Arabidopsis thaliana: one gene and its partner. The protein of the gene in region 2 interacts with the protein of the main gene of each other region in a biochemical or structural test. Each region holds a gene or a part of one and is shown on either strand. Other genes may lie near its edges.

The links.
Region 1: the proteins of AT1G68220 (region 2) and BRL2 form a complex in vitro, tested with the Arabidopsis thaliana proteins (one study listed by BioGRID).

Annotation. Positions count from the first base shown.
Region 1 is NC_003071.7:440,099-446,230, forward strand, and holds BRL2 (BRI1-like 2), read right to left. Parts: upstream 4,227-6,132; 5' UTR 4,139-4,226; coding exon 707-4,138; 3' UTR 526-706; downstream 1-525. UniProt on the Arabidopsis thaliana protein: Receptor with a serine/threonine-protein kinase activity, which may transduce extracellular spatial and temporal signals into downstream cell differentiation responses in provascular and procambial cells.
Region 2 is NC_003070.9:25,567,893-25,572,251, reverse strand, and holds AT1G68220 (aerobic coproporphyrinogen-III oxidase (DUF1218)), read right to left. Parts: upstream 2,161-4,359; 5' UTR 1,931-2,160; coding exon 1,838-1,930; intron 1,757-1,837; coding exon 1,548-1,756; intron 994-1,547; coding exon 690-993; 3' UTR 519-689; downstream 1-518. Other genes in the region: AT1G68230 (Reticulon family protein), read right to left, coding at 1-67; APRR6 (pseudo-response regulator 6), read right to left, coding at 2,950-4,205, 4,287-4,359.

The DNA of each region.
Region 1 (6,132 bases), on a different chromosome or scaffold from region 2:
TAAATTACTAGACAACCACCTACTTGATTCACATCAACAAGTATAAATTCACACATACTAATGAAGTAACACATTGAAATATATTCTCTTTTGTGGTTTGAAATACTATTCTCACAAAAAAAAATATTCTACTCACGAATGTATAGTCTTATAGTGTTAGATGTTCATAGGCCTGAAGGAGAAAGAGTCATTATGGGCCTAATGTTTCTATATTCTAAATAGTTCTTTATGGCCCAAATATAATTTTGAAACTTCAGTTGTTGAGCCCATTTGTATGTTCTCTATCCAAAGCCTAATCGTGTGTATTCGAGCGTTTAATAAAGAACAATTTTTTTTTTTTTTTTTTTCTAATACCAGGAAGTTCTGGGCCAATGTCGGTAATCCTTTCATGCACGAAACCACATCGTGTAATATTAGTTTCGTTTCAAGCGTTACTCAAATCGGCGTTCTCTAAGCTTCGTTTACGGTCTTTACCAATTGAGCTAACGACACTCGGTAATAAAGAACAATTCACCAACTAAGACTCTGATTTGTTATAATCTGCATAGTTATTTATTAAAGGAATCAGAATTTAAATTACATTAATTAAGTCTTGATACATCATGAAATTTTAATCATTGATCAACCACACATACACATTCTCACAGGAAAAAAAAATGCATTGAAAAAGCCAGAAAAACAAAAAAAAACAGAGATCTTCATGTTGTTACAAGCTGTTACTGTGACTGTGACTATTATTTTCACTTCCACGAAGTTCTCTCAACGAAGCAACAACTTGTAACATATTAGGTCTCTTTGATGGGAAATCGTCAACGCACCGTAACGCTATCTCCAAATACCTCAACATTTCTTTCACAATCACTCCTCCTTCAAAACCTTCTTTCTCATTCAGAGACTCCGAAGAACCTTCTTTTAGAAGGTCTTCATCAATCACTTCCATGTGTTTCCCTTCTCTTGCCTTCATCTTCGACCAACCTACTAAATTCGTATCACCAAACTCTTCTTTATCCGTTGGTCTTTTCCCGCTTAAGATCTCGAGCATCACTACTCCGATTGAGTACACGTCGCCTTTTGCGGTACATCTGAAACTTTGGTAATACTCTGGTGGTACGTAACCTGGCGTGCCTGCCAAGGTACTTACACTCAAATGTGTGTCTAATGCGCTGATCAGTCTCGCCATTCCGAAATCTGAAACTCTTGCTTCCATGTCTTGATCGAGAAGCACGTTGCTCGATTTCATGTCGCGGTGGATTATGTGAGGGATACAATTGTGATGCAAGAAACAAAGTCCTTTTGCTGCTCCTTTTGCAATCTTTTTCCTCTCTTCCCAACCTAAAATCCTCCGTTTTTCGCCTGTTCTTGGTCCGTGAAGCACCTCCTCGAGGCTTCCGTATTGCATAAACTCGTAAACAAGCAATCTCTCTTCCCCGATTTTACAGTATCCCAAGAGCGGTACGAGGTTTCGGTGTTTGATCTTCCCTAAGGTTTCCATTTCTGCCATGAACTCTCGATCTCCTTGACAACTAAGTCTAATGAGCTTCTTGATCGCCACGGAAGACCCGTCTTTAAGCGTCGCCTTAAAAACCTCACCGAATCCGCCGTGTCCGATCATACTCGCGGCTGAGAATCCGTTTGTCGCCTCGATAAGCTGCGAAAACTTAAGCTTTCTCAACTGTCGCTGAAACGTCGCTACATTAATACTCAACGGCTCTTTCTCCTTCTCTATCTTCCATGTAGTGGCGGAATTAACCGCCTGCAAACTGTGAAGCATCTTCGCATCATCCGCATCTCTCCTCCTCGCACGAACCGCAATCGCCCAAACGATTAAAATACAAACCGAAGCAGCGGAAATCAACACTCCCAAAACAATGCTATTCGCCCAAGAAGCTGCCCTAGTTCCGTGCTTAGCACGTTTCCCTTCCTCTGTTCCAGCAGGAAGCTGATTGTTTCCATTCTTACATTCCGGTAAAGGAACACCGCAAAGCCCCGGATTATTCGCGTACTGAGTCGCCGGAAGCGTGCTTAACTGACCTCTCTGAGGAATCGGACCAGTTAACTCGTTATTCGACAAATCAATCTGCACCAAGAAAGACAAATTCGAGAAAGATTCAGGGATTTGACCCTGCAACCGATTATCCGAAGCATCGAAAACACCGAGATTCTTGAGCTGACCAATCGTAAACGGAATCTCGCCGGAGAGTTGATTATGAGAAAGCTCAAGAACTTGAAGAGCAATCATTTCTCCAATCTCATCAGGGATTTTACCTCTAAGCTGATTATAAGAAAGATCAAGATACTCAATGGTTTGATATCTTGTGAATAGACTCAAAATTGGACCTGAATACATTCTTGTGAAGTCACAGCTTTTAAGAGATGGAATCTGAAGAAGCCTCTCTGGTCTGATCCCTGAGAACTCAACCAAACCTCCAACACCTTTACATGAGTTTCCAACGTTTCTAACAAAAGCCATTGTGTTTCCTGAGAGTAAACCGGAAAGTGCTTTTGAACCGGGTTGACGACCTAACCGGGGAGGGATTTCACCGGTTAAGTGGTTTGTGTTAAGATCAAGCCAAACCAGAGTTGTGCATTTTCCTAGCTCCGGTGGGATTTCTCCGGTGAAATTGTTGTTACCGAGCTGAAGAACGGCTAACCGGGAAAGGATTCCGAAATCTTTAGGCACTTCTCCGGTTAATCTGTTGCTTGTGAATGAGACCCATTCGATGTTACTGCAATTGAAAAATTCCGGTGGGATTTCTCCGGTGAGTTGATTGTTGTTGAGGATCAAATCTTTTAGGTTTTGTAGTTTTCCGATCTCCGGTGGGATTTCTCCGGCGATGTTGTTGTACCAAGCTATGAATTGCTCGAGTTTCTGGAGGTTTCCGATCTCCGGTGGGATTGTACCGTTGAGATAATTGAGACTGAGATCAATCGTTCGTAGCTCAGAGCATTGAGATATCGCCGGTGGAATCTCTCCGGTGACGAGATTATCCGGGAGTCTTAGCTCTTCTAATGAAGCTGCTCCGGGACATAAATCCGGTGGAATCACACCGGAGAATCGATTCGAGCTGAAGTCAGCGATTCTCAAGCTCTTACAAGCAGAGATTGAAGTCGGAAAGTCACCGGAGATTAAGTTGTTGCTGAGAAGTAAGATTTGAAGAGATCCAAAACTCCGGAGGATAGTGTTCGGAAACGGACCGGAGATGTTGTTGTTTGAAAGGTCAAGACTTTGTAGCCAAGAACATGAGGACAACGACTCAGGGATCACACCAGTGAAGTTGTTGTAAGAAAGCCGGAGGTTTTGTAATGACCGGCAAGTATCTCCGATCTCCGGCGGGATCCAACCGGTGAGTCGGTTATGAGAAAGATCCAAACTTTGTAAGAGTTTAAGCTCACCGAAAGATTTTGGAATCTGCCCATCGAAGTTGTTGTAAGAAAGATTCAAGCTTTTGAGGTTGGTGCAGTTGATGAGTGAGTCAGAGATATAGCCGGAGATACTGTTACCGGAGAAATCGAGATAGGTCATGGAGACGCAAGAAGAAAGAGGAATGGTTAAACCGGAGATTGGACCGGTAATGTTGTTGTAAGAAAGATCAAGGGTTTGGAGTTTCTTGCTGCTTAAGAAAAGATCATTAGGTAACTTTCCGGTGAAGTTATTGTAAGAGAGGGTGATGGAAATAAGATTTGAGTATTTGGAGAAGAAATTTTCAGGGAGGGTTCCGATTAAACCGGAGGAAGAGAGTTCGAGATGAGTTAGGGTTAAAGGAAGAAGAAGAAGAGAGGTTGAGTTTAAGACGAAGAAGTTCTCTGAGAGTTTGAGAACAGAGAGAGAATCAAGAGAGGTGAAAGCATTGAAGGAGACGATTCCGGAGAGGCCACTACCGGAGAGATTAATCTCGGTGACTCTTCCTCCGAGACAAGTGACGCCGGAGAATTGACAAGGGGATTTACGAGGTGACCAGTTTGAGAGAATGTTGTTTGGATCATCTTGGATCATTGTTTTGAAAGAGAGGAGTGATAATGAGTCGGTTTTGAGTGAAGATTGGTCGGAGGAGGAAGATTGTGAGAGATGGGTAAGGAGGAAGATGAAGGAGATTTGGATCCGAGTCCGGATCCGAACCCGGATTGGTGAAGTAGTCATTGGAGGGAGGTTTTTTGAGTTTGAATGGAGAAGGAGAAGTAAGTAAGTTGAAACATTTAGATGATAAAGAGACGATGCTAAAGCAGAGGAAGAAAAAGGGCTTTTTTTGAAGAAAAGAAAAAGCTGCTTTTAGGTAATTTATTAAGTTTTATTAATTGTTGATGCTTATTATTTTTAAAACATCTTTGTCGAATCGTTTTTTTTTACATATGATGTTTTTCTAATAGATGATTGATTTATTAAATGGTTATGATCAATCTTATGATTTTGTGGAATTGTGATCATGACTTGTAGTGATTTGTGTAAGTGACATTATTAATCTAATAGAATACATGTTGTTTGATAATCAAAAAAATTAAGTTCAGTTTATAGAATAAAACTCTAATATTTAGAAAAATATGTTTTCAGTTTCATTTAGTCCTATATCTATTTGTTTCTAATGGTTTCATAATTTTAATTCATTAAAGCTCCATGTGGGGATTTTGAACCTTAGAAAGAATTATGATCACTGCTAATTTTCTAAATGGGAATTGTATCTATGAGATGTTTCACAAATTTCAATGAAGAAAAAGTGTAGTATTATATAAACTTCCATTTAAAAATTTAGCTATATACTATTGTTGTATAACATTTCTTAAAATGATTTAAATATTAGTTGTATAACATTTCTTAAAATAATTTAAATATTAGATGACAAGCAACTAGATCTAATAAGAGTCGGAAGGAATTGTCCGTTGTAGAATCGTCTATGTAACAGTGCAATAAATAATAAATCTAAGACTGGCAAAAAAAAATAATTGACAAGCAACTGAATATGAATATAGTTAGTGATATAGTGACAACACTAATAAAAACGAACATAATAGAAATTCTAGTCTATAATCACATCAAGTTTGGAATTTTGGGATAATTTGTTTTGTTTTTGTTGTGTATTGTATTAATACTTTATTTAAAAAAAAAACAAAACCTTTTACAAAAGAATGGCAATTATATTGAAAGGAATTTTGGGAGAAATTATTCCAAACCGATATACAAATATTTCATATGGTGGGGTGTGTGGTCAAAATAATTGGGACCCAATTTAGTCATAATATGCATCGCATATGAAATGGTCTTTTGTAAAATTTGGTTGATCCAATGTTCACTGTCGAGGCAGAGGCGTGGGGGAATGAACAGAGAAGTGACTTTACAAATTACAATAACAAACTTTAAGGTGTAACCATAATGTTGCTCACTTCTTTTTCCATTTTTATGTGATTTTAATTAGTTTAGTTTCATATAATATGCCATAGATGAGCCTTTATATCATGTTCCATGTCACACACTCCATCCTTTTCATCATTACACTGCCTTCTTCCACCAAGTTTATGAGTAGATTTGTATGACTTAAGCAAAATATTAGCTTGATTATTTCAGCCAACGAGAAAATGCTATTTTGAAATGTTCATTGATAAATAATCATATACACATATTAAAGAAAAAAATATACACAAGTCATATTTTAAAATGTTTCAATTGGTTATACCCTAGCTACCATTCAATTGCACAAGAGACTATTTCTTTAAGATCAATAGTTTCTAGTAAGAAATAATTATTCTTAGAACATTTTTCCATTGCAATTAATAGTGCAAATCTTATCACCTATAGTGTGATTTTGTGTGTTATAAATTTGTAATATATCATACTGTTGAAGACTATAGAGTATATTTTATTGATTCTGTTTAATAAATAAAGGACCGAATAGTGGAGAGTAATAGAGAAAAAGCCCCACAAAAGAAACAACATCAATTAGCTCGTGGTTTAGTGGCATGAGAGGTTATGATTCCTTTGGCCCCAATATTTTTAAATAATTCTTTATGTAAATTCTTCTTTTCACTACCACTAATCCTTATATCTGTTTTGTATGAATTTTGTTCTGTATTCTCTTGAACGTCAAGTTATTTGACCGCTCAACAAGTAATTCCAATCGAAATCAGACTAATTTGCAATTTTGT
Region 2 (4,359 bases):
ACAAAGATCTTCGTCGTCTCGATGAAGAAGCTCTATGTTCATCCATTTCATATCCAAAAACCGCCATTTTGTTTTGGTTTCAGGTTTTGAAACAACTGTGGCCTTTTTTGTGAGCTAAGGTCTAAGATTCATGGTTTATTATATAGTTCCGAACTTTTAGGATAAGAACGGTTTTGTTCTTGGATTCATAAAGAAGAAAGCGATTTGAGAAAAAACAGGAAAGGTATGGCTTTAGCATATTGCAAAAACTCATCATTTTATTGCTACATGAATAAATTAGTTTTATATCTTGTAGAGAATCTTTCTTAACTTGAGTTAATGATCAAAAATGTATTCCAAAAAGTTATCAACATTTTGATCATAGCTAAACCCTTTCCCATGCAAGTATATTCCAAGTTGAGGCTAGATATGTTAGGAATGCAATCATTGGGCCTCTTCGTAGGCCCAGTCCATTATGTGCCCATATTGTTTTCATGTCTAAACTTTTAGCAGATGATAACAATCTAGATGAGGTCAAGTGGGAAGCTAAGATGATGACTGAGCCAAACCAAATTTCTCATAGACATACATAAGCCAACATTATATCTGACGACACAAGTTTATATTGACAATTAACAAACAACTATTTTTTTTATAGTTTTACCCTGTTTTTAAAAGCATAGCCAACATAAGACCAAACAGAAACTGGTTTAGACCTTGTTAAACTCGGTGTTTTGTTGCTTTGGAGCATCTGAAGGAGTGGTCATACCAATGTTAATGCCATCGTTCTGATGCTTCTCCCATCCGCCAGTATCAGCCTTAGAATGAGCCAAGTAGTAAAGAATGGTTGCAATCAAAGACATGAGAGTGAAAGCAGCTCCAGCAGCAAAGACTCCAACGGGTAAGACGGCACACGAAAGCTCTTTCCCTTTGTAAATGCCTTCACTTTTAGTGTGGTACGCGTTCCTCGCTGATCCACCCAACAAGCACGCCTCAGCTCCTAAAAAGCTTACCCTAAAGATACACAAAACCAATGACTAAGACAAACGTACTCAAACATAGAGATGAACTAACTAGTTCTTATTCTTGTAAGGTCGTTTCTTTTCTTATAGAATCCACATAGTTTGGTAAGATAACAAACTGTAAAACCAAACATATAGAATATTCAATTGTGACCATGACGAAGCCTACCACTATCATTGTCTTTAGATAGAGACATCCACAACTCACAAGTAAGAGTTAAGGACGTAAATAAGAAGTCAAGTTTGCAACAAAGTGACTTATTAATCATAAATCACATAACCAAATTTCAATACCCACTAATCTAAAAGTGTTTACTTTTCATGTTCACAATACTGAAAAGAGTTGGAAAAAACTTTCCTTTTCACTTCAAAGTTAAAACCCATAAATATACACAATCAAATCACAAATTAGTTCATTCCAAATCTAACTTAAAAGCCCCTAATCAGAAATTTCAAATTTTGGTTACCAAATACCACTTAAATCAACTCAATTTCAAATCTTGATGTACAAAAGATTCAATTAGAGAGTAAAGGAATAAACTTTACCAAGAAACAACGAAGAAGACAATAGCCCAGACAGTGTAAGAAGTACCAGTAACAAGACCCTTTCCAAAACAGAGACACTTAGTAACACCGTTAACCACCGCTTGGCTAACAAGAAGCAACCCAAACGCCGACATACCGTACACTGTCGACGCCTCAGTTCCGTACTTACAAATAGTCTTCTCATCGTACTGATCCGGAACCGGCACAGCCTGAATAAACAAGAAAACACGAATTCACAACACAAATCGGAAAAATGACAAATTTTAGTAAGAGAGAGATAAATTGGGTACGGTGCTACGGCGACGCTCGGCACCGAAGGCGAAGACGAAAGCAAGGAGGTGAAGAGCAGTGACGACGGTGAGGATTGAAACTGAAACCGCCATTGATTTGGTTTTCGTGCTTCTTTCTCTCTTTACTCTTTTGTCTTTTATCTTCAGAGAGCTTTGGGCAAGTGAAGAAACGTTAAAGTGTCCTTATAACACTGATATTTGTTTTCTCTTTTTCTCTTTTTTTAGAATTTTGAACACTAATATTTATGACTTAATTGTCAAAGTGTCTCCATCTAATCATTATATCTGGTTACTCTTTTTTTATTTTTTGGATGTGGTTTACAAATGTTTAGTGGAGAAATTTTGAGAGATATTTGATTAAGAGTAAGTAATTAAATGGGTATATTTATACATATTGTAGCTTTAAGTGGTAGCACAACCACCAGCTCAAGCATCAGAACAACAAGAAATCGACTTTGCACGCTCCATCCTTTGCCTTCAAACCCCGAAATCATGATTAGATTTAGAAACATAGTTGGAAGACGACCTTGCTAAAAATCAAAGACTCAGTAATTTGTCATTAAATTACTACGACGTAACAAAAAATAATATGATGTCAATTGAGACAAAACATATCTTTTAATTTTAGAGAGCACATGAAGTCATGCCAATGCTTCTTTGACAGATATGATGCCTTGTTCGTGGTTATCTATAGTAAATAATATTTGTTGACAAAAATATATTTCAATGATAATAGTTATAATGACAATTGACTATAATTTTGGAAGTAAAGTAGTAAACTATTATTTAAAAAAAATAAAAAATTAGATTTAGGATCAATACTAGAGCATCTACTACTTGGTCATAAGTTTTATTAGAACTGATTTTAATAGAAATACTAACTTTGGTCAAATTAAAAGTGTTTGACTACATTTTAATTAAAGACTGAGAAACAAATTAACAAAAAAAGAAAACTTATGGTACGATTAAGAACCTGAAAAACTTTTAGAATCTCATACATATTGTTTATGATTAACATACATCTATATTTATGATATGAATATGCATTATACAAAAACATATTAAATTTATAAACTACTTTTAATCTTGTTGTTCTCCTTTTTCACCATTATTCATACATCTTTATTCATCTCTTCGTTAATCCAATCCATGCATTCACGATAATCATCAAAGTTATCGTCTATCTTCATATCATCACTTTGATTCACAGATTCTATATTATGATATTCGCATGACTCCATCATATTATTTTCCTCAGAAAAACCATTGTCTTCTAACCAAGAGAATATATCCTTCTCATTGGCATCAATGTCAAAAGAAATCAGATCTTCAATCGAAATATCGTAAAGAGCATCGTTCATCTCTTCCATATTGGTTTCCAAAGGAACCATATTATCCAAAGCATCGTAACTTGTTTCACAAGAAACCAAACTCTTTTGGATGGTATTGGTTTCGAGTGAAGTTATATCTTCAGGGAAAACCCAATCTAACGGATTTGAATAATTGGTTTCTAGAATGGCCATATTAGTTTTGGGAGGGATTTCACTATGTATTTCACAAGAAACAAAGCCCACATTATTTGTATTAGTTTCTTCTTGAGGGGGAATACTTCCTCCAGAATAACCCATGCCCATATGGTTTATATCTACTTCAGAGGGAATCATATTTTCAAAAGGAACATAACCTACTTGTGAAGAAACCCAACCTATCTCGTTTGTATGTTTTTCAGGAAAATTTATGTTCATGTTGGTTTCAGGAAGAACGTAATTTGCTGTTGAAGGATCCCAATCCATATGGTTCATATTGATATCATGGTGACTAAGGTTTTCTATAAATGAAACCCAATCCATCTTGTCTATATCGGTATCCAAAAGGTTCATGGTAGGGTTTGGAAGAAATCTATTGTTTTCCTTCATAAGGCACTCATCTACTAGAGGATCGAAAGAATCTAGTATAGAAGTAAAATCTAAATCTATTTGGTTTACATCAGTTTCAAGGATGGATCTATGTGGGTGACATTGATTAGGATCATACTGCGGAATAGAAATCCTTTCGGATTCCATCTGAGATGTGCATGTGTTAGATGCACCATCATTCGATGGTAAACCATAAAGGATAGGAGAATTTTCACTACTTAAGCCAGTTGAAACTAAACCAGTATAGCTAGAGCTATCGATACTAGAGCTATCGATAGAAAGAATATTGTAAGCTGGATTATTACTTATGGTTGAAGGAACGAAGTTAACATTCATAGATAGCTTGTTAAGGACGTTACCATGAACTGAATGATTGCTTAGATCTAATTTCCCGCCTATATGAAACTTTGGCATTGTTTCCTCTTTCTCACCAATAGGTTTTTTAAACAAAACTGCATTAAAAAAAAATTGTTAATACTTATATGACACAAATTGTAACACCGTGAAAATCTATATAATAGAATAATACTTACATTGAGTGATAGAGGCTGATGCAGAGTTTTTCTTTTCTAAAGAATTCCACAAGGAATTACTTACAATGAGATT